2 linked regions of the Neodiprion lecontei genome follow. The protein of the gene in region 2 interacts with the protein of the main gene of each other region in a pairwise test. Links are inferred from orthologs where the notes say so. Each region holds a gene or a part of one and is shown on either strand. Other genes may lie near its edges.

Region 1 (16,157 bases), on a different chromosome or scaffold from region 2:
TTTTTGGAGATATCTTATCAAGTAATTACGGATACGACAAGATGTGTAGTTGAGAGATATCACCAAGGAGAAGCACATCGAAGTGCTCTACAATCATTCAAATAGTTAAATGTCAAGATCAACTGTTCAACTTTCAGAAGGGTGTGAGAAAAAAAATAGCACGACGAAAGGCTAAAGTGACGGCAAATCTGGAAGCCCAGCTAGACGAAGAGTTGGATCTAACTAAAGGCACTATACTAACAGTGACGGAAATCTTGGAGGACGGATGGTGTCGCGGTGAAACCGACGATGGTAGAATCGGTATTTTTCCCCAAGGATTTGTCGAGTTCTTAGAAGGTGTGAGCGACGAGTCAGTCGATGAACAGGAATCAGTGGTAGCCGCAAGACTCGATCCTCTGCTCCAAAAAAAATTTGGCAACGACTCAGCTATGCACTACAACGAGGAACCTGCGCCTTGCTATTACGAGCTATTTCCAGAGTTTGCCCCTGAGGATACAAACGGCGATGACAACGTGAAAGGAAAAATTGATGACTATAACGTTCCTGTCGACAACAATCTCAATCCTTTTGGCGTTGATCCGTATGCGATAACGCTATACCCATTCAACGCTCAGTTTCCGAACGAACTGAGCTTCACAGCTGGAGAAGTTGTGCGTTTGATAAAGCACAAAGATTCAGAATGGGCAGAGGGATCGATAGACAATGTGAAAGGCATCTTCCCTGTCTCCTATGTCAACATAATCGTGGACTGTCCGCATAGTGTGGAACCATCCCCGTCGAAATCTGTGGAAGATGAAGAAGCAGAAGAGGAGGTGGAGGTGGTTTCTAAAGCAGGAGATTCGCTGGTACCTGGAGTCGTCGTTAAAGTAGAATACAAATTCGAGGCCCAGATGGACGGTGATTTGAGTGTTAACGAAGGTGATTTTGTCACGGTTGTAGAAATGGCGAATAGTGACTGGGTCAGTGTTAAAAATGAGGATGGACTTGTTGGTCTTTGTCCAAGGGGCTATTTGAACGCCAATTTCGATCTTCAAAGTGAGCAAGGAAACTCTGCAGACGAGAGTGTTGTGCTGAGAAATGAGGAGGCGACAGAAGAACTGAAATTTGAAGACCGTTTCGACAGCAAGAGACTCTCCTGTCCGCATAGACCTGCACCTCCAGCTCCAGCGCCGGGCCGAGTCCCGCTACAACGACAAACTATGACTGTCGAGGCTCAAGAGGAAACTGTCGAGGACGTGGAGGATTCGGAAACGGATAGTAGAGTTAAAGCCAAACAGAAGAAAGCCGATCATCGACAGAACGTCATAACTGAGCTGGTGATAACGGAAAAGGAGTACGTTAGAGATTTGAAGATGACTTACGAAACTTTTAATCTGTATAATCCGAGCATGCTCGAATCCCGGGGTATAGATGTGACTACTTTGTTCGGAAACATGCTGGACGTGATTAAAATTGCCGAGGATCTATTGGACAAGATGCTGTCGGCAATGAAAGGGTGCGACGAGGAATACCAGACCATTGGACCCTGCTTTTCAAAAATGTCTGATAAACTGCAGATGGTCTACGTCAAATACTGCAGCAATCACGAGGCTGCGTTGGCTCTATTGAAAAAAGTATGTTCACAACTTGATTTTCACTTTTCAGTAATAGATCAATGTTTTACCACTAAAAGGATAGATTCAATTGACGGTTTTCAACACTCTTCTAATCTAAGATAAGTGATGTATTCTACATGAGTGTGATTCAAATTCTCTTTCAATACAGTACGAGAATAACTCCGAAATTATGGCAGTGTTTGAAAAGGGTATCGAAACATTGCGCCATCAGATAGCTTGCTTTGACATGAGTTCTATTCTGATAAAACCTGTGCAAAGAATATTAAAATATCCTTTGATGCTGTACGAACTTGTGAAGGTAAGATGCTGCTAGTAATATTTCATTATACATTTTAGTCGCAATACCATTAGAGAAGAATCTAACAGTACATTTCGTAACGAGTATGGATAAGGCTTTTTGTCGAAACGTGAGGTTTACAGCACGCACCGAAGTCGAGTGCTGTAACACGTGAGTGAAAAAAATTATCCGTACGAGTTTCGATCCATATTTTTTATTAGAATGCAAAAAAGTAATTTTTTTCCAAAACGTACGGAAGAAAAGATACAGCAAACCTTGCAGAATGTGGAGGATGTTTTTGTAGTTAGAAATTAAGTCTTGACTATCGATTATTAAATTGTAATTTAATAAATTCCATTCAACTCAATCTATTTGAATCCTGCAGTGGTTTTCAATAAATATTAACTTTATCAGTGCACAGAAGATGACCACCCTGATAAACCAGAAATAGAAGAAGCTTGGCGAGCTATGACGAACGTTGCGAGCTACATAAACGAATATAAACGTCGCAAAGACTTGGTGACAAAGTATTTCGAGGGTGAGAACACGTTGATGCGAAAAATGGCTAAATTGAACATGCACTCCGTGGCAAAGAAGTCAACCAGACTCAGTGCAAAGCTTTCTGCTTCGTTGGGACTGACAAACATAGCACTTGATACTGACTTTGATGAGTACGAAAGACAGTTTAAATCTGTTGAAAAATCAACCTGGCAATTGGCCAGGGATGTTGAGCAGTGCATTGTTTACTTAGGCGAAGAATCTGTCAGCGGTCAATTAATATCGGATTTGATAAATCAGTATTACCAAGGAACTTCTAACAATGAGGTCAGGAAATTTAACGAAACTCGCTCTGTCATATGGTCAAATTATTTACAAGAGCTGAAATCTTGCCTGGAAAGAAGAGTCTCGAGTCCTCTCAACCACTTGATCAACTTACTCCAAGGCCCAGCGCTACTTATTGAAAAAAGATACGACAAACTCCTTGATTATGATGTCGCAGTTTCCAAGAACGAAAAGAACAGAGATAACAAGATTGTAATTATTCCCTGATATATTTTCTAAGTACTATATTTTTGATGACATTTCTGTACGTGTTACTGATTGCAGTTTCAGGACGAACTACTTCGCGCAAAAAGCAACTACGAGGCACTCAACGAACAATTGCTAGAGGAACTCCCGACCTTGATCAATGTATCAACTAAAATACTGGTGAATTGTTTCGGCGCCTTTGCCAACTCCAGAAAACTCCTTAGTGGACAAGTTACCAAACGTTATTTAGCATTATCGGAGGTGAGTTGAGAGATTTAGAAATGTGGTAACTTCCCTGAACTTTGTAAATATATTGTTTCTTAATTCTTCAAATCACAGACGGCAACTCAAATAACGGCTCAGGATATTCTCGAGTCGTTTTTAGTAAGTCACAATTTACTCTGGAACCAAATAACTCGGTTTGGTTTTGCCGGCTCGAATCCCCGGATAGAGGAGAGCCAGGTGGCATGGAACGAACAAAGCGAGAGGCAAAGAAATCTCTTACGAAACAAATACCCTGTGGACAGATTGTTCGTAGTCAAAGAAAATGTGGTAAGCACATCTTCCTTGGACATGGGAGCGAAACGAGGCACCATAGTGGCTGTAATTAAGAATCAGGATCCAATGGGAGATTCGACAAGATGGTTTGTCGACAACGGAGCACTCAAAGGTTTTCTACCAAGCCAAAACTTAGAGGTACTGCACCGCACGTCAAGCGTCAACAGTACGAATGGAAATAGGGCATCGATAAGTCCAGACACAATGGCGGATTTCATATCCTTGGACTCGCCAGAAGCCACCCGTACAGAGTCACCGGATCTCATCTGCATGGACTCGCCAGAAAAGGAAAATAAAACGTCTTCGATGGCGGAAAGGCAGTCGCAATTTTATCAAAACCTGGATGATGCTGTTGACGATTCTCAAAACGATACCACGACTGGTAGTACCAGTGTCCTGCAACATTACCAAAATTTGAATAACGTTGTACGTATAGTATTGTGTCAAAGAGAGTTGAACTATGTATTAGGAATGAATGTGAGGGCGTTGCTAATCAATATGGCGCCGAGAATTGGACTGCCAGTGGATGGTTTTGGGGTGGTTTTGGGTCAATTATATGAATACAAGAGTACGGACAATTCAGTGCAAGCTGTGAGGCTTTTGTTTTATCCCACGTATTTATTACGCTATAAAAAATCCAATGACAGAGGTATTTTAAAATTAAATATGGCCCGTTTGGAGTAATACGTTTTTTGCCACCAGATGTCTCAGCGCCAGATTTTCATTACCAATACCCGCGTATCTATGCTTGTGAGAGTTATTTCAAGTATCATTATATTGTTGCAGTATTATTACGCGCTCTACAATTTTGACGGAGGAATGAAGGGCACATTAGTTATAAAAAAAGGCCAGGCATTAAGACTCTTGAGGCCTTGTGATGAAATGAAAAACGATGATTGGTGGTTGGTTCAAGATCGCTCTGGAGCTTCTGGCTATGTTCCTAAGAATTATCTAGGCCCTCCTGAAGCAGTGATATGAGTGACAATGCACGTGAAAAAACGAGGTAATGAATACAAGAAATTTCACCATTATCAAGTTACTATGATAAAAAAAATTTATTTACATATATGTATATATTATAAATAGATGATTACAAGGACGCCGAATATTGTTGCCTCATAAAAAAAAGTAATAGAGGACTGCGACTATTGCAGTTTTGTTTAAATGTGCTCGAGAAATTTTATATCTACAAATGAACCTGTTACATATTTTTCATTATCATATTGAATGTTTGTATAATAATTTACCCATAGTTTTTGACTTTCATGATCTTTATATCGGCTTCTCAATGCCTAGTCAAATACTACTGTATAGTACTTTAATAGTTGGTTAAGTAATCACTTTTGGAGATGTTTGAAGAATTTAATGATACGTTAACTGAGTATCAAATTTTTGCCGAATGTCGGCAATGTGAACTTTATACTTATGTAGGGCTTTACCTCACTATCAATCATATTCTATGAGAGATTTTTCAATTTCCTGCCAATCTAGAGTGACTTAATGAACTCAGTAATTAGTATTGTTGTATAATAAATACGTACAGGGTTCTAATGGTTTAATCGATAATCTTTTGAACCGAAAGCTATTTGTATTACATAATGCCTAACAGTTTTATCGGATACAGAGTTGTTGAACCACGGTTCAACAAGTATTACACGAGAAAGATTATTTAGTTTGCTGTTTCTTTATTTCATACTTTTATCAAAAGACAATTGATCGCCTTTGGAAAGAGAAAATAGAATATAAAGCTTAAAATAACGAAAAATATTATATTGGTATAACTGATAACGCTATCTTATGTCCTATTTGAAGAAACGTAATTTATGAACGAGATTATCGTTATCTTGAAAATAAAAAATAATAATTCGGCTAGGAAATAGCTTTATGTGACGTATAGAGATTACAAAATGTAAATATTATGCGCAAGCTGAACAGCTTGCAGGAATAATGTAGGATTATAATAAAATGAGGGAGTACAGTGATCCATTTATATGGCGTAGATATTCTGTATTGCAGTTTATTTTGCAAAATCTATACAGACTATACATATACCTAAGTGCATAAAGCAGAGGACGGTCCGTGAATAATTCGGATCACTCTGTATTAATATATAAATGTTTATATGTTCAGCCAACAATAATTAGATAAACTATACATTTATAATTAATAATAAGATTTTAAACAGTTATACATTGTAGATTATTAGTTGTATATTTTGACTCGTGCCATTTACATAACTCCAGATTTTAAGAATTCAAAGTAATAAACTATTTTATCATTGTTATTATATTCGATCTATGATTGAATTTTGAGAATTGTTCTTGTGCGTTAAAAGAAATTGATGAATGTATACATTTGAATTTATCGTATACACCTTATTATGCTATACATACATACACGATATATAGTATATTACATGCATATGTGTTGGGGTATGTATATGTATAGTATATATATACAATTCAATTGATGCGTTATTCTACAAAGTTTAAGGTGTACGAAATTAAATGAATTATCATGTGAATTAAAATTATACTTTCAAGTAATTATCACTGCGTCCTCTTGATTGGAGGGAAAGAAAAACTTGTTCTTCAAGAACTGAATGTAGAATATTCTGACTGTGCTGTACTTGGCACAAGGATGTAAGATAGATTAAGTGACAGTGAAGTGGAGGAGTTGAAATAATGGAGAAAAGAAACAATAAGCTCATAACGTATTTAAAAAAAAACATTTACTATATCATACTATCACTTATCGGCATATAATATTCACTTAAATTGTTACAGTAACACAGACAGTAAATACTAATACATTTCCTTAAATGCTAAGTCGTCAGGGTTTCTTAAAAATACAATTATAAATTGACACAAAAAAAAAGTAATCTTAAATTAGTAAAACAGTCTTATTCGAGGTACAAAAAAATAAATCTACTGCACATGATAAGCTATAAATATCATGACCATAACGAGTACACTTACAATTAAAACATATCAATAAAACAGAATTATAAAATTACTGCGATCTAAAAAAAAAAAAAACCGAGATAAATTATCAATGGCTACAACTGCTTGATGCCAATTATTAGATACTCATGGAAAACTAGTCAGTTTCCTAAGGAAAAGAAAAAAATGACGATGAAATGAACTGCGTCAAGTAAATAAATGCGTTTCTTCATAACGCAACGACGAAACATTTTTCTCCAAACTAGTCACATAGGAACGATTAAAAATTTCTTCTCATTTGAACGTGAGAGACTTGATCGGTTAAGCAAATCAACAAGATTTCTCTCCAGGGCATATCATCGACCACTCCTTAATCTGTCGGATAAAAGCGGAGAATCGCCCTTCCCTGGATCTCGGAATGACATAGCTTCTGTACAACATCGAAGGCTTCTTCAGCAGGGTAAACTGTGTGTGGAGGAGGTTCAATTTGTCCCGAAGCCACCAACTGTACAAGTTCTTCGAGCTGTTGCAAGGAACCAGGGTCAACTGGCTTGATGCTTTGCTGCCTTTCCTCTGCACGTCTGCTGAACTTTGGCAAAAGACGATCAGCCACTTCTCGAATGACGAAGACTACACCGCCCTTCCCAAGACATTGCAGGCTGCGGTGAAGGCTTCGTGATGTAGTTCCGAAGTCTATTACAACGTCAACAAGACCCTGACACGCATCCATCGTCCGTTCTATCAACTGCTTCTCGTACAAATCTTCATTCCATTGAACAACGTTCACACTGCGATTGATAAAAATAAGATAACGGTTAGTCAAAAGCCATTCAGAGCTTGTATTTAGTGTACCTGTTTTCATTTCAAGTAGCCAGATTGAATCTGTTCATTTCAGCAGTGATATCTGTTTTAAAAATCCAAGGAGGAATTGTTTCGTGAAATTTTAAGCAAAAAGTGATCAAAAAATCTTTCAAGCCACTTGAAAATGTTATAATATTTGATCAAGATTGTAAAAGTTCGTTAAAATCAGTCACGATAAAGCTGAGCGATAACATCTAAAACGGTAGTGAAATTTGAGCTGAAAATAACCTGAACATCATGGCAAAGATAAGGTAACACATTTAATGAGCGTAAAAAATAAGTGGTAAACCAACCGTTTGAATTCCTTAGCCATCATGAGTCCGTCATCCTTGAGTGAGGCGATGGTGATGGTAACTCTGTTCTTCATATTGCTGAAGTGATAAGCTGCGATTCTCATTGCCCAAAGGGCGAGTCCGCCAGTACCAACAATGAGGATCTTGCAGACGCTGTTGTCTCCCCTCTCTGCGAGAAGAGCTTGGACATGTTCGTGGGCGGCAAAGACAGTGTTCATTGCCAGGAGAGCACCGGTGGGCAGCATAGCAGCGACGCTGAGTTCCATGCTATCAGGTATTTTGATGAGATACTTCAAGTCGTGGACGACCATATATTCTGCATAGCCGTTGGGAACTCCGTCGTACGGGTAAAGAATGACTCTATCTCCGACTGCGTAACCACAGTTTTCCTTTATCTCGCTACCTAGGGACTCCACGGTTCCAGCGACTTCATACCCAGGGAAAAGGGCTGCGTCTCTGACCCCGTAGTGAGGTAGATTCACTGGTAAGTCACCCTCCTGTGAAACGTCCTGCGATAGCAGGCTTCCAGTGCTCGATACAGACGTTAGACTTGTCTGGCTTGGAGAACGGCGAGGCCGGTAACACGCTCCTGCGCAAACCACCCTGATTCTAGCACCATTCGCAGGAACGTCTGGAACTGGGATGTCAAAGCTGAAGACGCAGTCTCGCCCTGCTAGTCCAGGACTTTCAATCGAAACTTGGCGGCACAATTTATTCATCTTGCGAGGTTGTGGTTCCCTGTTTAAAAAAAGAGAGAATATTGATCCAGAATTCAGACATTTGGTAAATATTAATGGTTTTCTTTTTATAGCAAGGTCTTGGAAAATCTCACACGAATATACCGTTTAAGAAATCAATTCGTAAACAAATAAAATATAAAACGTATAAAAGATAAAATTTCGAAATATTCGCGGACTTTTTTCGAAACTTGACTATTTCGAGGGTTTTCTGTTAATTTCTCTCTTATTCGTCATCCGCGTTATTGTTAGTTGCGAGTTACGGTGCGGTATCATTTTTGAGAGGAAGTGAAAATTAACGGTCGATGAAACACTAATCTCTACGCTTCTCCGAAGGTATAGAGTCGCCGGTGAAAGCTATCTGACGATGACGTTCCATAATTTAAACATTCGAAAACTATTCGGTCACGCTACTTATCCAAGATTCAAATGTTTCGAAACCCGAAGCATAGAGTACCCTCCTTATACTTTAGTGCATTAGGCATGTGATACGTAAAGCTAAAAATACTAAGGATTTCGAATAAAATAATTGACGCTCTATTGAAATTTCCCAAACTTGCGATGTGTTTAAAACGAAGTGGGGGAAAATTCGAAATACGAAAACGTACCTAAGCGGTTCACGAGCTGCGCAATGAGCCAATGGAGTAACGGGAACAAGTTCGACAGGCATTTTTTTTAGAGGAAGAAGAAAAACAAAAGCCACTGGTGCAGTCCTCGAGTTAGCCGGTAGTAGACTGCAGCGAATAGACAATAGAACTATGCAATAGACAGCGAAAAGGACGGCGTCCCTTCCGTGTTACGGTAATAACCGTTTAAAAAACGAGAAATATAACGCGATGTGCGATGCGTGCTTTTTCACAGATTCGAAAGAGTAATAGTTATTTTTATTTAGTCTTGCGACAAATTCGTGGAAAATTGATCACTTTACACAAAGCGTATCACACCTCTCGCGGTACGTTACATGGAACATCTGAATGCTCGCGCTGCGCTCCGTTTCCTTTTTATACCTCCCAACAAACTGCGCAACGCCCCAACTCAACCCATAGAGGAACTGGTGGTGGATGGAACACTCGCAGGCCACGTGCTCGGTTAATGTTCACACGACGTGCCTCCGCATATCTCGATACTTCCAAAACCTTGCGCCTGTGTTTGTGACTGCGTTTCTTTTTCTCTTCGTAGGCAGCCAACAGCTGGTATACTGCTGGGTAAATTCTGCTGTTGCCGAACAAGGATACTAAATTATGCGGCGAGCCGCGAGGATCGAGTTAGAATAAAGTAATTAGGTCCTTTTCACAACTCGATATTAAAAAATAACGTCATCCGTTCCTACCTATATCCTCATATTACGCTAATAGACGTCACAACGATAATGTTTAGTTCACACATCCGTGTGATGAATTGTTTGAAAAACATTCGAAACGTTCTTTGGGAGCATTTTAGGTTCCTGTTTGATCCCTGCGTCCGTCGTAATCAGTAATATATGTGTCAAAGAATATATGCATTTACCTAGAAGGCCGTGGTCATTGTTGCAGCTGAATCCTCTGAGGTCAGAATCCTGCACCTTTAGGCATGTATTACATAACGAAGCCTGTATCAAAGTTGATATCACCAAACATCGGAGTCCACGTGTCTCAAACTCTAAAAAGGGCTTAACAGCCTCATTTTGTACGCAATTCTGAACAAAAACACTGCCAACACATCTTCATTTGACGTAGAAATAAATAAATGGCTTAAATTCTACGAATTTACCATCGCGATTTCGTAGAATGCGTGCCATTTCTTTATCTCTGCGTCAAATGAAGATGTATCGTAGTGTTTTTGTTCAGAATTGCGCATAGAATGGGACGTTAAAACCTTTTTAGGAGATATATCCGCCAACGACGAAATCGACCAGGGCACCCCCTTAATCTCGAGCATAGTAATAGTTGCATAACACAGCTAAAACGGCATGCAAAATTCGTAATACACACAAAGTTCTGTAGGCTGTGTACGCGTGCATGCTTGAATGCGGCAGAATTTGTCATCACTCGCAACAATGGTGATGTATCGTCCCTCTAGGATAACTCCATATTCTTAGGTATGATATTTTCGTTACTTTTCTTCCTTTCCCCGCCAGTTTACCCCTCATTTTTCATTTGAAATCTCGATCTTTCGGATCTGTGACATATCTAGAGAAACCTTGATAACGCTTTTCTCTCCCTGATCTCACGGGACCTAGGATATATGTAGGATCGGTTTTTCGGAATTAGAAAGACCGGCGTCCACGGACGGGACGCGTGCCAATGCTCAGAGTTTTTCACCTATAGGTATACATACCTACACATACCTACGTATAACCGTAAATATATTATGCCTCGGCAACTCTAGGTGTAGAAGTGTTTCGTCGTTATGTACCAAAGAATGGATTCAACGGAAAGGCCGATCGAGTTTTAGGCTAGCGCCACGCCGTCTGGGAAGGACGTGTACCTACACCTAGATCGGACGCGTGTACGAATAATTCTAAAATTATCAATAGAGTATTTTGTGTGGGTATACCTATAATAGCCAGGTCGATACCCGCGTGCAGTCTTGAAACGTAATATTTACGTTTTTACATACCGATGATTAATCATTTGCAATTCGATTCAGTCTCAGTGCTGAGGTAATTGCAAGCATCCTGTTATATGTACCGGATGTGAATTATTCGGTGATGCAGGTTACGATTGAGAATCGTTTATTCTATTCAGAAGAACGTGAATATATCGGGCCATCGTTCCAAACGGATCTATTTAGGAAGCTATTATATAGCAATTTGCGTTTCGGAATCGTGTATAATAATTCGTATATATATATATATTATCTACGCGCTTTCATCTACAGAATTATTATATATATATATTGTACTTCAACGATCGTTAGCCATTCTTTAAATACGTCGAGTATACCAATAATAAATTGCATTATATCATCGAAACGGTATGGAAAACTGATATAGACGGATATAAGGGAGGTTATATTTAGGGAAGGAAGTCCTACGACAATCCAGTGCAGGTATAGAATACCGAGAGATTAATGGCGAAAGGAAGTTGCGTAACTGTGAATCGTTATAAATATATTATAGAAATCGAATTGTAACAACGATGGCAGGTGGAGATTCTCGGAAGAACGATCAACATATTTCAATCATTGATAAGTTGGGGGGAAAAAAAATTAAACTTTTTATCGTATTATTTTCTTCACGTCAGAATCGTTATCGCGTTCCCTTGACGAAAGTGATAAATTCGCGTTGATATTCGAGTTTACTCTACAGCTGCGTGGACCTATATGTATACGTATATTATAATTATACATCAAGCTGCCCGTTGTAGTTTTAACGTTAGATTGAATGAGAACTTGTCAAAATCACGCCCCCCTCGGTTGTTAATCATTGCGAACTGGTTTCAACACTGTTAAACAAGTACCACCCATAGCTGCGATTTTATCTCTCGGATCTTCATTCTAAATGAAAAAAATTATAGCCAATAACAAACGGTGATAACTTGTTTTCTCGATATTTATTGTTTATTTTTTTCGTTCCTTCATTGTATCGATTTTATCGTGATTAGGATATCTTTTTCATCACAGTTGTTTCCTTATTTCTCCAAATCTATTTACAGTAACTTGTTTACGAATTTTTTTCACTCAAGTACACAATCGGCACGTGGATATAAGGCGGTTCTAAAGGCCAAGGCGAAATTTGCAAAACATCGCAACGTGTCAAGTGTATCTTTGTTTGTATTGTAATTCTCATACACATCTACATCAGCCACGTGGTGTATCCAATGCGTGATACATCGTTGAATTCATACGCAACTTGGGTACAGCATCAGAGTGATCGATATTAATTACTGCCATTATTTTCGCGTCGATAAGTGACTTAGGGAAAGTAATTCTATACAATACTGGGTGGAAAAATAAATTTTTAAATATTCACCGTCTTATGTTCGTCGGTTAAAATTTTAACGTTTTGTTAATACTTACAACGATCTTTGTGTATTCTCAACCGTCGCCGGTTCTCTTTTTCTCCTTTGTGTTTTTCTTCTCTCTTGGCTCGGTAGTTAATACATGCTTTCATGTATACAATAGACTCTCGCTGGAATAGAATTCAGAAAAAACTCGAAAGTATGACACAAAATTGAACCGTGTCATAAAAGCGTTAATAAACACGGCAGTGTAATGTGTATACGCAAAATTGAGCACTTTGAACTAAACAATTATTCTTTGAAAAAGTATGGATCAAAGAATATACCAAGAATTACGCAGCTCAAATGATGTATACATTTTTACGTTCTTAACTCGATGAGAAGTAAATAAACACGTCTAGTTTCCTTTGCCTAATTCCATATTATTTTCGGTATTGTATTTCAATTTTTAATTTAAATAGAAATTTCGCTCAATTATAGTTGTGGAATAATCTGGAATTGAATGTGTATTCTGTTCAGTTCGTGTAATATTATATCCAAGAATAAAATCCCGTCGGATGTTTATTTCCGCAGTTGTTTCTTTCCACGAAATATCTATAGAGGTTGGTTTTTATACGCAAACGTATTAATAGTACATAGTTTAAAACAAGGGTCGTTACTCGTAACAACCATCTGCTTTATATATTATTTCCAACTTGATAATTTTTCCGCTCAAAATGAAGACACCGACGTTTCTGTGTTATATACATATTATTCATGGCTTGCGATGTGTACACATTCAGGCAAAGCTATAATTAAAATGTAGGCACGTTGTGTCCTTGTTTTCGCAATGATGGCTGTTTGCAGGGAAATCCTTAGTCGCGCGTGAATTATGTGTTTATATACACCGAACTACGACCTCGCTCTCTTCTGTAGTTCAAATATTCTAAAAAGAGATGTTTTCCCCGGATTTTAAAGCAAGAGAAATAAAACAAGAAAATAAGGGGAACGCTCCACAAAGAAAACAGTCAGAGAGAGAAGGAAACGAAATCGCATTATCCTAATTATTCAATTAATGTGAAAGTGATTGTATATTTTACAATTGACTGATTATTAACGAATCGAGAGAATGCAAAACTGACCAATACCAACATAGAAATCGTTGGTAAATTACCATATTCATGTACACATTCAGTCTCAGCTTATGGGCTAAAATTAAACCACAATACGTTTAATAGGTAGAGTAGAAATTGCTTTGTATAAACGTACGTGCGGATTCGCATGGAAATTAGTTGGAAATGAGTAATGACAATTTTAAAACTAATTTATCCTAAAGCGCTTCAACAAGATAAGACGTATTCATTATCACGTGCAAAATATTCGATCATCCGAATACCCTGTAATAGATTATATTGTTAAATGCAACGTATCGCGATTATTATTTATATACTATTTATTTGTATTTATATTGATAATTCGATTTCCTCGTGCATCAATTGTCCGGCATAATCCAACTGTCTGCAATTCTATAACCAGAGTATACCTGTATAATATAAAAAAGAAACTGCAGTGACGTAAACTGGAAGGCAATTACCTTTACATAATCATCGCGGAGCGTAAATTGATATTACAAAAACTGGCCGTAAGGTTATCAGTAACAATTAAAAGTTTTTAGAAATGTTAACAAATTTTCGTACCTCATCTAGCCAAATTTCTTTTCTCTATTCTACGTATCTATATTTCCTAATTTTCTCCTTCACTCTCGCCATGTTATTGTCAATACTTCCCACGCATCATATTTCATCTATATACAGGGTGACTCAACTGAGAGCATGATGTTTTAATCAACGGGATTTATTTTAATGCAACGTCAGTTCCACAATCATAGATTCTGCGAATGTTTCTTATTTGTTGATTCACTCTGTACATCAGCGAATGTATAAAGCTGCAGGTAGTAGGTGTTATGGTACAAAGTCTAATGTCTGAATCACCGCTCAACAGTTTCAAAAAATTAGCGAAGGACGACAACTTTATAAGACTGGGTTACACGGAAATTTCAATTCAGTTAGTTACACCTGGAAATGTCTATCGAGAAAAAAAAAAAAAATTTAGAAGTCCAAGTTTGGTAAATGTGTGATAAAAAGTACAGAAAGCATTATTTCTACAAGGGCCGTTACATGCAAATTTGGAATATAAATATTAAAAAGCATTACGGTATCAAGCTTGATGCCTGGATTACTGTGTTTTAGTGTCAACAAAAAGCGTAAGTGCTTTTTCGACACTGTGATCATCGATTAAAGCGATCGTGTTATCATTTCGAATGATCATTTGCTCCACATTTCACAAATATCCGAACATCACGGCATTGGAAAGTGAAACAAACAAGTCTGCTCAACGTGATCACTGATCACGGTAAAAACGTATACCTTGAATTTAATTGTATAAAAAATGGACAATTGCCAGATGATGATCGAAGAGAAAATACACGTATTATACGCGAGAAAGAATTCATCGAGAAAAATTCCGTTCGCGTTTCTGTACACGATTTCAGTAATTGCAGACATAACCTAAAATCGGTAAGGTATAACAAATATCGATAAGTGCATTTGCAGAAACAAACGAAGGTGACTTATGATCGTATAACACGATCGTCGTCGTATTATGAAAAAAGAAAAAAAAAAGCGACACCGCGATCACCTGTGCCTGTAAGTGATGAAATAAAAGAGAAGAATCTGGAACAACGGTTATCTGTGAAACAAAGAACAAACTAAAGGACAAAAGATTTAAAAAAAAGAAAAGAAAAAATTGAATAAAGAGCGAAGCAAACGTCCCGGCGTAAGAAAAACATATTCTACTATACGCGTTTGAAACGGCGAGGTGTTGCTCTTTGCTCGTTTTTGGTGCAACGCCTGTGTGCCGCGCAACGCCAGCCGTCGGCAAGAGCCGAGCAGGGGAAACGGTCGATGATCAAGGCATGCCACGATCACGTGAACAGCATCGAACCTGCACGTGACTGTGAGTCGGTCACCTCGCTCGCTACATGGTACATGCTCATCCGTTGCTATCGCCTACACCGCGAAGAGAGGAAACGAGCCCCAGTCCCAGATTTTACGTAGATTTTATACCACGGAGCATGTGTGTGTGTGTATGTATCGCGAATCTGCACGGCTTTTATACTTGGGTACAGTTTTCATCGTGATATTTAGATCGCAGCTGGCGCCTAACTTTTCCCGCTTGCCAAAAGTATGATAAACATAACGGAAGAAAGAAACGCGACCAGGGATGAGAATGCGAATGCTGATGAGTGATGAATGAAATGAGAGAGAGAAGAAATATTAAAAAACGATGAAGAACTCAAAGTTGAAAGTCCAAAGCGAAGATAAACTGAGACAGAAGAAAAAGAAATCGGAAATTAATGACTTCTTAACGTTTCAAAATTCCACCGTGCAAAACGTACCGGATTCGTATTTTGATAGGTTTCGTCTAGTTACGAAGCTCGGGAGTTTCATACTGTGAAATAAAAAAAAAATGGGTTCCCAGCTGGCACCAAATTAATTGTTTTTGACGAACCGTTTAGCTCATGGATGGAACCGTGGCATTACGTAAATTTTAGGATGAACCCGTTTATTAATATTGTATGTACCTTCAGGTGGACGTCACCTGCATGCTAAACACATACAAGTTGCCAAGTTTGCCTTGAATCATCGTCACGAACCTACAAAGATAACGTACCAAACTGATGAGTGATTACTGCTCATTCTTACAACTATCCGTACGTTGTTGGTTTACCGTTACGGCGACTCAACATCGCAGTCGTTGCTGTATTGAGTAACTAGAAAACGATTCTATGTGCTACTATACTTTTCGAAAGTAGTAATCGTATCGATTCATATAATGGGTTCTCGTGAGAAAAATGGACGGCCC
Region 2 (15,466 bases):
CGTGATGTGAAGAAAGATAGTTACATTTTTCATGGCCATACCGCCTGTCTATTGGCATAAGGTCCAAGTCGCAAAAAAAAATGCGATTTAAGTGGCAAAAGAGCGTGTAGTGATTAAAAAAAAATTTTTCATCACCATTCGCACTGAAAATGATCAGAACGTATGATTCAATCGAAATTAAGCGTTTGACAATATAAAGACAAATGTTCGTATGTAAGGCAGATACGACCTTTTTCCATTAACAGGTACACGAAGAAGAAAGATCAAAAGAGAAGGTCGTAACAAACATTTTGTGTTTTGTTTCTGCAATCGTTCTGGAAACCGTTGAAACGCATCGTGGATCAATCGAGATCTGCGAAAATTCAGAAATGTTGTGAAAAAATTCTTCATGACAAGAACGAAAGGGCGTAACCGCAATTTTTATTATTTTTTTTTTTTTGTAATCGCCCCAAAGACTAACGAATCGCGTAAACAATTGAATCTAACAAAGTTATACAGTGAGTATGACGATTTTCTGAACGTCAACTGTCCAAATCGTCAATTATCGGAATGATAAGAATAACAATAATAATATTCGGCGTTTACGCCATTATGCAATTGGACGCGCGATATGGTAGTACGGAAATTGGGACCGAATAATTTATCGATCTTGATCAAACCCGCGAGAATTCACTCCGAGTGCGTAGGAGTGAGAACTTGACCTTGAAATCGAGCGCGGCTCAAGTCCCCACGTATTTTGAAGATCGGAATCGGGATTAAATGTACATTCACAACCCATTTGTTCCAGGCCTGCAGCAACGATCCGTCGATTCGCGACGGTAGTTTCGTTCTGCATCAGGCATATCGGTCACTTGAAGAACTCGAAATTAAATTTGCAGCGATTACCGAAATGCAAATAACTGACGTGCTTAACCGTCACTTAGCATCCGAGTCGTTAACATAATGCAAATATCTCCGGCGCGACTTCTTCGTACGATAGCTATGTTGAAAAATAAAAACCACAACCACTTACTACGCCTCGACCTGCACCGCCGGTTCTCTTTTACCGATCATTACCTTCCCCTAACAGGCATTTAGCCCGGGCGTTAGGCAGTAATAACCGCAGACATTGTTCACCCGACTCGACGCAGTCGACGCTTGTTTTATGCATAGCCCATTTTTGTTTTCTCAAATTCTGACCTAGTACTTCGTTGAATTCTTACGAAATTGTACGCGCATTAATTCTTCGATGTAACCGTTACATGTACACAAGCAGCAGAGCTTGCTGCAAGGATTGCTGAGCAAATAAACAATTTATTACCCGTCGCAAGGTGTTTCTGTATCCAAATCTGACTGACTGCGCGCAGGCGTAAGGCATAAATATTTTTCATTCTTATCCACTTCGGCTGATGAATAATAAGCGTATCAAATTATGAAATGGCAATAACAATGTGTAAAGAGCTTTTAACTTTACAGTGACTGAGAATATCAGGAAAACATTTTATCTCGATATTTTGGTACAATCGTTTAAAATCATTTGTACAAAAGAAAAGTTTCTCATTGACGTTCAACTACTACATGTTTGTTATTACTCAGCTGCAAAATCATGCTCACCGTAGGCATGAAATTTGTCTACATAATTTCGAGGAAACTCAATCTCCTTTCAATTTACTGTATTCCACAATAACAATCATTCAAATTAAACTATGAAAAACTCATGTGAAAATCCAGCGTTACATTATAAACGTGATGTTTGGCGAAGTCGGCGAACAAAAATTGCGAGAGAAAATAATGCGTACACGAGGTAAACCCATAAGCGTAATGAGTTACGCACACGGAAGAGGGAGAAGATTTAAAAAGAAAAAAAGTCAACCCGCGGTCAGGAAGGTACATACGCGGATCTTCTCCTACGTCGCGGCATCGCAGGACAGAAATGACGCAACTGGATACATAGTTGCGCGCATCGAACCGGTTTGCGTAGTGTGCGTATACCTGTGTACGTAGGCGCATAGAAATAATATACACACATTGAATCGAATATAGGTTCGCAGGCGTACGAAACCGCGTACCTATACTCGCGTTTGTACACACACACGCAGCGTGCAGCATTGAAACTAACGTCGCAGATTTCCGAATCGCAATACCGGTTCTTGTAAAAGTACTTGTTTTAAATAACTGTTGCAGCCGCCGCGAGGGCAAACACTTCCGCAATACCGATTTGTCATTGTATCCGGCTAGCGAAAATTATTATTTAACACCGCGGACTCGCCGTGTACACGCGCGTATACATGCACATTATTATACGAGGAAGCACCCGGCGCGAAATTATCATTTTCTTCCAACGCGATCTTAAACGTTTTTCCTTGTACTCGCATGCTTACGGATTTACTTAATTTTCGTTAGATACTTTTCGTTTCCATATCATATATACCTATACACCTCTGAGAAAAAATTCCAAAGGGATCGCATGCATTTTTATTCAATTATTGTACCGTACGAGAGATGGATTTTCTAGCGATCTAACGAAATAAGTAAAGTGGCAGAAATTGGAATCTGTTTCATAGGTTACATACGTCGTGATCGGTTAATTGCGTAACCGGTGATCAATTTGAACCTTGCCATGCAGAGCAACGAAGAAGAGTCACGATATGGTTTCTTGGAAAGTACGCTGGGCCGGAATATAAAACAGCGATAATAATCGGCCTTGATCGGCCTTTCGTCGATCTAACCCCCGCCTGCCCTGCCTCTCATCCATAGGATCGTGGAAATTAGGTATGCCATTTTATTACACATACATTTCTAGGCGTTGGATCGCGTTCACGATCGTCTATACATTACGGGCAAAATGACGGCGTAAAAGTGTAAAAGTTTCGCTTGCATCCACGCGAATGCCTGTAACAGTCGTAGGATTACAGGAACAGAGGCAGTATAATATTGAATTTTACGACTGATAAAGCGATCACCGCATAACATTTCCAACCTGTAAGCATGTTTGCTGCAACCCAGGCAGCTATGTACTGCGATCAAATTGCAATACCTGTAGTGCATTTAGGCTCTAAGCGACAAGTTTGTTTTGCAAACGTTGAAAGTTTCACCCTGTTTCGTGTTACCATCGGTTGTATATGGATATGTAGAGGTTTGGCCTCGAGCATTCGCACCCGAGATCAATTATGATTATAACATAAAATGTCAAGCTGCGGATAAGATCGTCGAATGCATAATTCAATCGCCGTATACCTGTAAGGCACACACGTTCGATATCCCTGCGGTGTACGGTTGAAAAATGCGGATTTACGGGAATTTTATACTTATGTGTTATATACATAGGCAGTCGGATGTAAAGATTCGCGAAGAGAAAGGGACAATAAGAATCAACGATGAATATTAAAATACGTGTATCAAATAAATTATATACCTATACGACCAGGAAGCTGGTTAAAGGCCGAATATTAGTGAAAGATCAAACTAAAATGACTTTGTTTCGCGGCCAAACTTAAGTGAGTTCGTTAATCTAATCACGATTACAGAAGTCCTGAAAATATTATTTCGCAAAATCATATGGAACAACATGATGCATCCTTCGTACCACGCTTACTAATTTACGAATATAACTCGCGAATAGGCCTGGGCATAACGCTGGTATGTAGCTAGCGATGGACGCTGACAATGAGCTAAAAATCACCGATGCGTCGATTAATCAAGTCGATGATAATAATCGAACACGATTCGATTGAATCGGTAAAAATGAATCGATTAATCGATTACTTCGTATTTTTTTTTGAAACGGTGCTTACGAAACAAACATTTCGTAAATTTCATTAGGCAGTCTTGATAGCGGTAAAGTTTTTTTTTTTCAATTTATAGTTTCATTCGAACCATTTTTCAATTTCAGGTGAAAATATTTATTTATCCATCACTCGTTGTATCAAATAAGGTACTTGGTAAGTAAGACAATGATGCTAATTGATACTTTGATCACATAAATTAATACCGCATCGCGTCGTTCATAGGAGTAAAGAACGGAAACCAATGGTGAGGTAAAATCATCGAGTCGATCGATTAATTTACCATAAAAAATAATCAATTATACTCGATTAATCTAGGAAAAATATGTGATTTCATCGAAAATCGATTAACCTCGGTCATTCTTAGTATAACTAAACGTGTCAGACCGCGTATGTTATGATTATTGACGCAGTATACACCATGCGTGAGGTAGATCAGTATGCAAGTAGGTATGGGCGTCGAAGTTGAAGGCGCGAACTGTAAACGTGTACGAACGTTCCAAGCGGTGTCTCACGCACACACACACACACACACACACACACACACACACACACACACACACACACACACACACACACACCGTTGCGCGCGTACCCATGTATGTATATTGCCGAGCGTGCGTTCTAATTACACCTACACGCCTTCGAAGACCCATTGTACATTTTACGTAGAATTATGGTTACACGTACGCGGTATATAATACGCCATGTTTCGGATACAGCACGATGGACCGCACATAATTTGTATTATTTATACGCATATCATGTTATCTGTATAATGTGAACATATTTTTCGTAAATACATCATTCAAATAATACATGTACTCTTGGGAGGACTTATCGAATAACTCTCGCGCCGGGATCGGGATTAAGATTTTCTTCTTTCAACTTCTCGACCGCGCGTGTTGCGCGGACTGTTGAAAATTAGTCTGAACAGAGTTTCTCGGCTAATATCAGCTGAAAGCAACACGGGCGTTGACGTCAAGCTGCGCGACTGGTAAAAATATGCATATATGTGTGAGGGGCACGCGGTCTGCGTCGGCACTGTCCGTCGCAAAATTCTTACCGCCAAACGATCGATCCTATACCGATGACCGAAATCACGTATACCAGCCTCGACTTTTGAACTGACCTTCGATAAGTCTACCTATAAATTTGAATAGGATAAGGGTCATTGCTGTACCTCGTTGTTTCGTTGTCGAGAAATTTCGAGCTAAATTAGAGATCGGGGATTTAAGAATATACTTTATACGTAATACGTTATGCATTTATAAAATCGTCAGAGTCACAACAATCACAACGACGTCGCCATCCGAGAGAACGGGGCCCAGACGTCGAGATTTATACCAGGCGTGTAACATCAAGATAAGATTGTTAAGCATAATGTTGATTTCGATTGATTACGATCAACTCTTCGTCGGCTTTTGCCGCGCAGTTAGACGACGCGTTGTAGCTCGAAAGGTGGAAGGGAATGAAAAAAGGAGAAAAAAACGGCAGATTTCCGCGCGAACGTTTATACGCGCGTTTATACCTTTCGACGGGTTTTTGCTTAATTTTCCTGCCCCCTCCCCTGCCCCTCTTGCCTCGATTAAAAGGAAAGGCGAGTCGTCAATTAGAGAGTTAGACAGAGAGACTCACGAGTTGTTCGGGCGTCGTGTTTTTCATGATGCGTGTTCCTCGCCTCCGTTTGAAAATTTCCACGTGCTGAGGTGCGGTGTAAGGTGTGCGGTGTAAGGTTTCGGGTATCCGGTGGTCCGGCGACGTCGAGGCACGATCGGCTAATGCAAGTTGCGAAACTAACCCGAGAAACGCGAGCGTGCGACTCGTGCGGCGAACGACGCAAGTCTGTGAACCGAAATAATCGCGAGGGAGAGACGAAGAAGAAGACGAAGAAGAAGGAAAACGAAGAGAGAGAGAGAGAGGCAGGGAGGGAGGGAAGTACGCACCTAAGTACGTACGACGCGCAAACACGAACACACACACACACACACACACACACACACACACACACACACACACACACACACACACACACACACACACACACACACACACACACACTCGCGCACACGTCTCACGCTCGACGGTGAAAGGACGCCACGGTGGCTTTAAAATAACGCGACGTGTCTTATATACAGGACCTTATATACGTATGCAGGCAGTTAGGCAGGTATTAATAATGGTTGTTCGTTCGTTCGCCAGTCCGACCTTAGAGTCGAACGTGCGGGTAACGTGGAAGAATAGTAGGATTTTCTTTGAGACAACGCGCTGCCCTCGCCCGACATGCCGCACTTGCGATTCGTTTAATCGTGATGCAGGTTTCGTTGCCTTTGAAAAATCCGAGGATCGTCCGCCGATGCAGCGCAGAGCGCGACGGATATCTATAATTATTTACGATCACTGTCGCTGCTTAATTATTATTAATTACCGATCATCGATAGATCGAACCAATGTTTCGTCGTTCCGTTGATCATCGTCCAATGCAGACGCGACCGTGTAAACAAATTGTCTATAGGTGCTGCTGCAGGGATGCGACGTTTGACCAATAACGACGTATAATTGACACTTTTCCAATCCGTTTGACGTAACGTGAACTTCTAAGTCTGCGGGTAGGTGATCCTCGAAAGGAAAAGAGCGCAGCATATATCGTTCCAATAACTGTACCGTATGCACGTACATACGTGACAGCGGACAAGAGGCAACTATCAACGATATAACGAACGGCACGGAACTGGAAGACTTTCTGTGACTGATATCGAGTAATTTACTGATTGCGCACACGTCGGTGTGAACATAATTTTTCCGAGTCGATCAAAGTTGGAAAGATAAAGCGACGCTCTCGATCCGCGAATCGAACCCTACAGAATCGTAATAACTAAAATTTATAGAATGGCGTTGAGGTACAAGTAATAAACCTGTGTCGACTTCGAAGAGAACCGTTGGTAAAGACGAAAATCATTGGAAATCAGATTTTCCTTCTCGCCAATGTCTTTCGTAATTACCTTGCTTTGTCGTACATAGGTATAAGCGGTCTTGCGATCAGAAGTGATCGGTCTAACGGCAGAGTATTCTTCCAGTCAACCGAATCCGATTCATTGTAAACTTGAATTTTGTACACCTTGTGTAGGTAACGCAGAGGTCGGCACGTGAGGATATCGTAAAAACTGAACACGCGTTGCTTCCGATCAGTGAGCCAGCCAACGTTACATACGATTCGTAAAACTGAAATCCCCACGCCGTATGTAACGTATGAAATACAACATCCAGTGGTCAGCGTCGTTCTATACATATTAAACACGTCACCCTAATGTATAATTATACGTATTCATAGGTAGGTATATGCACTATTACGAATGCCAGCCGTCCGTCGTTTGCGACGACGGAATTGTACGATGACCACAGCGGGATATTGTGTCAAGTGTAAGAGCCAAAATATATCGATCCGTACAGAGACGGTCCCGTGAAGGTGTAGCAATTGTTAAGAGAGCGATTAACGAACGGCAAACAATTCTTTCACAATCCGATATTGCGACCACATATACAACGTGACGGCATACGATGACTCTCGGTATTCGAGCGACGATCGAAAATACACCAACATCGAGCTAGTACCTGTGGGATTTGAGATTGGCAAGGAATGCGGATCGTCAACTTCGATATCGATCCCCGGCGTCGCGACGCTCCTCCGTCCCAAGGTGACCTTCGGTCACGACTCGCTGTATATCCGACGGCGTCGTTCGCCAGCGACAAGTCGCCACGCGTTGCGTTGCGCGGGGGCCGATGCTCCGAGATATTGGTACACGCGATACGAAGCCGTGAAGAGTATTCGCGACGTACCGCGAATTGAAAACGAACGGGGGATGGACTGGAGCAATTTTGGCGAAAAATCAGTCACGTTCATCTTTTCGTTACATCTGCAGGAAATATTACCCTTACCCTTTACATTCCGCAGTCGCTAGGATTCCGAGATCGAAAGCCACAGACTGCGGCGGCAATACGTGGGTATACTGCAGACGAATATCAGATTCTACACCGTCACAGCTGTATAAGCTGTAAAAAAAAACTTGCACGCAGGCGCCTTTTCGACGAGTCGTCCGATGAAAGGACGCGCGGGTCGATTATTGCCCGCCTTTTACCTCATGGATTTTTCCGCCCTCGTGTGTTTGATCGCTGATCGGCTTCCGAAATTTCGCGCAGGGCTCGAGGCCTCGTTATTGAATAAGCGTAGGCATTTCAAGGTCCGAAATTAATCAGGACTTATTGACGGTTAAACACGAATATGTGTACCGATGGCGCGGCGCTTGTTGCCTCGCGACGAACGGAGTCGAACAGCAGGAATTGGTAACAGAGGCCGAACGTACCCCGAGGACCAAGAGACCACTGGTCGAATAACGCTGACAACCTTCGGGCGAAAGTGAAAGGCGCTTAATTACAGGCGTGCGAATGTCGGGTGAATTTGTCGAATGGTTTATAGGTATAGAGGTCGCCTGCTTGACGATTCTTCGACGGATACGTGGGTGTGCAGCAGGGTGGAAATCAAACGTGTCTGAGAATCGGTAGAACGGTGGGGTCGAAGGAGGATTTTAGAGAGAGAGAGAGAGAGGGAGAGAGAGAGAGAGAGAGAGAGAGAGAGAGAGAGAGAGATGAAGGCAAGAGCTGGGTAGATTTTATTTCCTATGCAACACGGGTAATATTTGATAAGTCTATCGGTATAAACCGGTTGGATATACGTATGACTCGCGATACGTATTTGAAAAAATGTTCACGATTAAAATTCTCACCCGGGAAGGACTATTTTAGTAAATACTACGACATTTGTGGAATTACATTAATTAACCAAGTCCAGATAAAGCCGGAGAGTTGTTAACAAGTGTACGTGGTGATTTCAATTCTACCTTGCCCGAGATGTTTGCACCTGTAACGCATTTGTAGGATTTTACGAAAGCTCGTATACATAAGTATATGTTATATTGTTACGCGAAAAAAGGTAAATTGTTTCGTTACGTTTGGATATGCCGATGATGAATATCGGCGTGTAATATACCTAGAGTAAAGGTAACGATTGCCTCGTTGATTAAGTGAATAAGTAAAACAGTTAGTCGATCAATTGCCTTTGCGGAAACAGGAGGCGCGCACATCTCTGCCTTCTTTTGCTCTTTGCAGCATGGCTTCCTCACGACTACAGTCACCGGCTGAAAGTTCAAGATACAAGGTCAACGCTATCTCTCAAGGTCGCCCGGATTCATTCAATATGCTTACCCGGAAATTTTCGCGAGAAAATAAAAATACGAATATTAGGAAATCCTGGCATAGCCCGGCATAATTTGGCCATGCAGTGAGAGTATATATTATAAACCGTGTAATCGACTTTGACAAATTCGTACCAAATTCTCTCCAGGCGAGTGTCCGTGCTCCATTTCACGACGTATTTATAACACGTACAACAATTGCAACCCGAATAAATGTTTAATTTTTTTTCACGCGCAGCACTCACAATCAAATTGGCAATAAATCATCTTTCAAGTCCACCTTAACGCGACTATTTCCCCTAATCGATCACGTCACTGCGAATTTCAACGAAACGGAGCATAGAAAATAATCGATAAACAATCGAAATCGTTCAACGTGAGATTCAAGTTTTGCGCAACCGCTGCCTGCATCTGTCACTGATCATCGCCGGCTGATCGTCTCGGCTCACGGACGATCAAGTACCTGCGTACATCTAATTAATTGGCGAAAAAGCAAGAATCAACGTTACCTCGTCTATCGGTTCGGGACTGTAAGAGTTGTTTGCGTCGTTCTGAACCGGTGCGGCCTCGCCATTTTTCGCGTAACATGTGCAGATTTTGCTCAGAAGCGAACCGTTCTTCGTCTTCATATTGCCCGACAGCCAGTAACTTCACTTCCACCAATTAATCTGACCAACGTTTCTAAATACCAGGCGATGCAGTCTCGGATGCACTGAATTGTTCAGCGCGTATTACACGGAATCTGGCTTGACGTAGTAACAGCTACTTATATTCTTACAAAGAATCAGACAGCGGGGTAGAAACACTCGCGGCGTTTGAAAACGGAGTGTGCAGCATCCTCTGGGTACGGACCTAATCTATATTATAAGGACGTACCGGGAGGGGAGAACCTGACCTGCCCGTCTCTCGCTATCCCACCGTGCAAGGGCCAATGGCAAGCCGTTTCACGGCCTGTTTCGATTCCATGGCGTGTGTTTGCACGCACGTATCCAACGGGGGTGGCTCGGGAGGCTCGAGGGCCCTCGATTCTTACTTCCTATTCAAAATATTACCCAATTCTCACCCATGTTTGCCACCGAATGTTTGGGGAAAATATTCCAGAACCTGAGACTCTGTTTTTCCTGACATTTCCCACGATAGAAACCTGATATTTTCAGTTTTTCCATGACTCAATTGAAAATCCCCTGACAATTCTGAGTTTTCCATGACCCCTTTTAAACGATCCTGACATTTACAAGTTTTCCAGGTATGTCGTCCGACTTCTACATTTAACTGAAATAATCACGCCGATGAAGAATTTACTATACGTTTTGTAGATATTTAAGTGCATATGATGAACAGCACGTAACTTGTTTCGGATTCAGCCGTACTCTTTGCTTTTCTCTCTTTTCGGTAAATTACAAGTGATTAATGGACAAAATTAGTGTATCGTACGTGCGAACACGTTGCATGCAATTACGTAAAGTCGAGGCCCCGTTTACGTCTTTAAAAAGCTTTACAAAAAAAACAATTTTGTTTCGCATACGTCACAGTACCTTGATAGTCGGTTTTTGAGTACACATAATCGGCGGGTTGATTTTTGCACAATATCTTATCCTGAGTCTTGAAAGGATAAATAGTCCGCGATGCGTTATCAATATTTCTTACAGCACGTCTATAACTATGTGGCAAAAAGTCAATCACGAATTCTCACGTTCCTTTCACCGAAAAACAAAACTTTTTTCGCAATGACGTTGAGTAAGACCCACGAGTTTATTATCATTAAAAATTATCAGCAATTAACGAAACCAGTTCCGCAATATTGCACAATTCCTTCGTTGAAGCAATTTATAACCACCCCTGTGCGATTCGATCGAGACTTGTTTTCGCACTACCGGATAAGCTCGAATTATATACATGCATATACTCGTTGCGGCAAGTGTCAGATCACGTTGCAGCTGTAAAATAAGCAATAAATACATATAGCATTATTGCTAAGTAAATGTGACAGCTAAACCCTGTTCGCGCGCGGTGTAATAATTTATAATCTTATCAGCACACTTCAATATCCGTTATAAGCCGACCTTGAAACATTCCGATTTGACAATAAAACGATATATCTTAGGAGCAGTAATTTTTATAGCACAACAGGTCGAACTGCCTCGAGTTCCCCGTGGCGAACCGTTATAACCCGGTGTTGTGAAGTGATGCCTTAAAATCGTTCATTCTCGATCTGCCGCAATTGGAAACTACAATTCCATGCACTTCTCGAGTGATTATGTATGTTGCATCTCAGGGTCACTTATTCGTTGCCGAACGCGAAAGGGAGAGAGAGAAATAGAGTGAGGGAGAGTAAGAGAGAAAAAGGTTGCGTCAGCCGTACTCGTTTTCAGCAATAAATGACCCATATTGTTTTGCAAACGGTCGCATTGAATTTCTGCAATGTCTCAATATGCGGATACTGTACGATGAACGACATTTGATCAAAAGAGTTTTATCGGCAATATACCTAATGGATAACACATCTGCCAATAATCGATAAAGCAGCCGTATAACCCTCGCAATGCGATGGAAAAGTTCCACCTTTTTGCCAGTGAAACCACAATGGATGTGGGCACGATTCGACATCATGTTTCTTCTAACTCGTGTCTTAATTTAATGACCGCGTATCAGACTCATCAACAAATGATAAGTATCATAGGGATTATCCGTTTAACGTGCAGAAATCTAAGCAACACCACGGGTGTGCGATTTTATTGCACTTGTAAAGTCTAGTTATTACATGACAAATGACAATAACAACTTCGCGAAATACTTCCTATACTCTATATCGATCTATATTATATTCGGCATCACCTTATATCATATAGTTTTATGACGATGATTTTGTAAATTCGTAGGATTGTATGGATTACTAGAATCACTAGAGACGGTTCATTTCGTTTTTTTAATCTGTCCGATATTGTAATACTTTAATCACGAGAATTAGCGGCGAAAAATTTTACTATTCCTCGCCTGTTGTCAGCGCAGCCAATGAGAGGAAATATAACGCGGCGTGTAAATTGGGTTTTAGAGGTACGGGCTAGCTACGAACACTCTTCGATTGCAGAAAGAACCCTTGTGACGGAACTCTTGGGCACTCGTTAACACGCGCGTCGGTGACTATCAAAAATAGAAATTCCGCGGAGCCGACGAAAGACCAAAGACCCAAAGACTAGTTCATTTTTAAATAGGAAAGTCACATCTTACAATTAGACGCACGCCGACGGCGAATTCGAGCGGATGTGCCGGCTCCACCCCTTCCATTCTCTTCATTCCCCCGTGCTATTAACGCCTCACACGCGAATTACAATACGCGGTATATGTTAAGCCCGTGTACTTACATGCAATCACGTCGTAAAATTATGGATAAAGGTAACAAGTACGCAATTTCATTAATTGCGTTGCATTAATTGTCCCTGAAGAGGAACGACGCGTCTCGTGAAGATGGGAACGAATGATCGGGCGAATGAGAGATCGGAACATTGCAATAGAGAACTCGCGGGACTATATTCAAATACCAAGGTGACACGAGCGCCCTCGATGCTCAGTCAAAGCGGATGGCAATGATATTCAGTTCAGTGGAACAACGCGCATAATACACCTGATCATAATATTGTTTTGTACGTAAGGCGTTTCGTGGATTACAGAGCGTGTAGAAGTTTGGGGACCGGAATCGGTGACGGTACGACACGTCCCGATTGCAGTAGTAACGCAGGAATGGCGTACAACCACGCCAGCGAGTCGAGTCACCAAACCGCAGCTAGGTATAATTACTGTTATATCAGATGAAAAATGCTCACAGCTGGACCGACGTGCTCCCACTTTTCATTGACATAATCCCAATTCTCCTCTTCCATGACGGCCTTGGTCACAGTGATCGCGAGAATGAAGGTGTTATCGGTATTGGTATTCGATACGAGGTACGGTCAGGCTCTCCTCCCCTTAATCGCGGACCGCGATGATCACGCGCGACGATTGATGAATGAATCGAGAGCACGACGACGAGACAGGAGCTCCTCGGAGCTCGGCTCTGTTTCTCTTCCACCCGCCAGCGAGACGAAGCCAACCTAACGACAGGGATGCGCCTCTTCCTCGAGACGCGACGCGCACCACGTAACTCAAGCGTAGATCGAGGTATCATTATACAGGCACACGAGTCGTTACGTTGCGTTTCGACTTACGTCACGGCTAACGTGTTGGCTCCCCATCGGGCCAACGGGACGGAAATACATCAATCGAGCGTGGGGAAGGGTATTTTTGGAACATCGACTTCGTTAGTGGCTTCGCTTCGGGAATGTAAATCGTATAAATCCGATCGCGCCCATTTGCGACCAAAAACAATGCGCACTCACATCACGTGCACCCCTAAGAATGATGATTTCCTTGCGGTGAACTATCGAACGTAAACGAGTAGTCTGATTCGATCGAATCTCTGACGTTTCCTTTTGCATTGCAGGTATGATCCGTCGGGCTTGAATGCCGGGCGCGGAACGGACCAGGTAATACTGTACAGGTTGTAGAAACTGGATAAAAGTTACGCAAAACTTTGCCTTTTGACAGGCCGCTCGTGCATATTCCCCGTGTGATTTATGGTCAATTTGTTCACGCCTGCTGAATTTATTCGGTACGCACAGAGAATCTGCATTGATTGTAACGTCATCCAAACGGAATGTCAAAACCATTTCGACCATACATGTAGATTTCTATAATTACTGTATATTCTGTACAAGCTTCGACATTTTATCCTGAGAAGGACACGCTTCATTTTTAGGTTCATGCAAGAAGAGGGCTGTTGTCTAGTATAAAACATCTAAACAACTCGAATTACATTTAACCAAGCGACAATTCTGAAACTTGCCGAAATGTATAAGGATGACCTTATAAGGTACACCGTTATCATATAAACATTACAAATATTTGGAAACGTACGTCAGGATGGCCGAGCGGTCTAAGGCGCTGCGTTCAGGTCGCAGTCCACTTCTGTGGGCGTGGGTTCGAATCCCACTTCTGACAATTTTTTTTCATTCCCCAAACACAAATTTACTTTGCAGTACCTGTAACAAACAGAGTACATGGCCCACAAACAGGACTCACCTTATAGTCCAGTCATTATAGACTAAAAACCATTTTTCGAATATACGCATAAGCATGATTTGTGTGACAGTGACCCCCCCCCTCGAGACAGCTGTGAAAAAAAAATTCACTAAATAATTATTCACGGGTAGGGTTGGTTTTTTGGATATAAGGACTGGACTATTACCTTCGGCTATCCTAGATTTCATTTTTCTTGCAGTTACATGCAGTGCGTCACAAAATCAGTAAAACGGACAGGCGACATGCGAACACACATTTTGCTCTCCACGACTTGCATTATTCTGCCGGCTGTCAGTAATCCCAAATCAGAATATTAACAAATGGACATGTAAATGCAACGTCGCCAACGTTCTCAAGGCATCGGTGGTTCAGTGGTAGAATGCTCGCCTGCCACGCGGGCGGCCCGGGTTCGATTCCCGGCCGATGCAAATTCTTTTTTATTTCCTACATCTACACCTGTGGTCAAGGTGAATTACTATTGGTCGTCGATTTCTCGACTCATTTCGTAATCTGTGGAGATTCCATCAGTACAGTATAAAACATCCACAACGGAGTGTCAAAACATCTTTTTGACAAACGTCAACGAGACTGTATTTAACTCAACGTAGAGTTTCTCAGTCAGTTCATGCGCACAATCTTGCATTACGTCATTTTTTAATCTTTCATACTGTCAAATGACGAATAAAAATCGCACCGACCGCGACAGACACCTGCCACGTTATACATCATTGGAACGTATTTACAACATCTTAGGTAACGTGCTACCTGTAAATGTAAGACAAAAAGCTGGTTATTAGTCAACATTCGTGTAAAGTTCATCGCAACGACAGTGAAACGCATCCCTTGAGCCGTTGATTAGCTTTGTTTGCGCCTTCCAAAATTGTCCTCGGTAGTATAGTGGTAATTACGCCCGACTTATCCGAATAATCTTGGGAGACCGGGGTTCAAATCCCCGCCGGGGCAACCTTTTTGACTCTTGATTGACATATATTACATTCGCGTTTTCTCTTCATGGAATCAGAGTAGTTTTTTCGATATGCAAGAAATTCCATTCCAACATAGAATCAACCGTGGGATTATAACGATTGGCTGCACACGGTGAGAAATTTGTATGCAATAAATAATGCGCGCGCAAGACGGGCTCATTCAGCGTCCTTCAAACATGGCAGAGAACGGATCGCTTGTCACGGTGTCAGGGGCAGCCCTATCTTTGCTTTTATACGAAAATGTGCGAAGTATGGGCGATCAGGTAATAAGAAATAGCCCTAAATTATTCCACACAATAATTTGCAACGATATGTTGTAAGTAGTCAAGGTCTATGTGCTGTTAAATTGGAG

Evidence for each region.
Region 1: the proteins of hexokinase type 2 (region 2) and uncharacterized protein LOC107217150 interact in a two-hybrid assay, tested with the Caenorhabditis elegans proteins (2 studies listed by BioGRID). The link is inferred for Neodiprion lecontei from reciprocal best matches to the Caenorhabditis elegans genes hxk-1 and ZK829.7.

The regions. Positions count from the first base shown.
Region 1 is NC_060264.1:32,214,957-32,231,113, reverse strand, and holds uncharacterized protein LOC107217150, read right to left. Parts: upstream 9,292-16,157; 5' UTR 8,984-9,291; coding exon 8,922-8,983; intron 8,315-8,921; coding exon 7,577-8,314; intron 7,211-7,576; coding exon 6,793-7,210; 3' UTR 6,195-6,792; downstream 1-6,194. Other genes in the region: dynamin-binding protein, read left to right, coding at 138-1,613, 1,765-1,914, 2,308-2,928, 3,001-3,183, 3,262-3,906, 4,267-4,458.
Region 2 is NC_060265.1:31,233,967-31,249,432, forward strand, and holds the start of hexokinase type 2, read right to left. Parts: upstream 9,820-15,466; 5' UTR 9,643-9,819; coding exon 9,523-9,642; intron 5,614-9,522; exon of another isoform or gene 5,430-5,613; coding exon of another isoform or gene 5,403-5,429; intron 353-5,402; exon of another isoform or gene 336-352; coding exon of another isoform or gene 288-335; intron 1-287. Other genes in the region: BRISC complex subunit FAM175B, read left to right, coding at 15,291-15,377.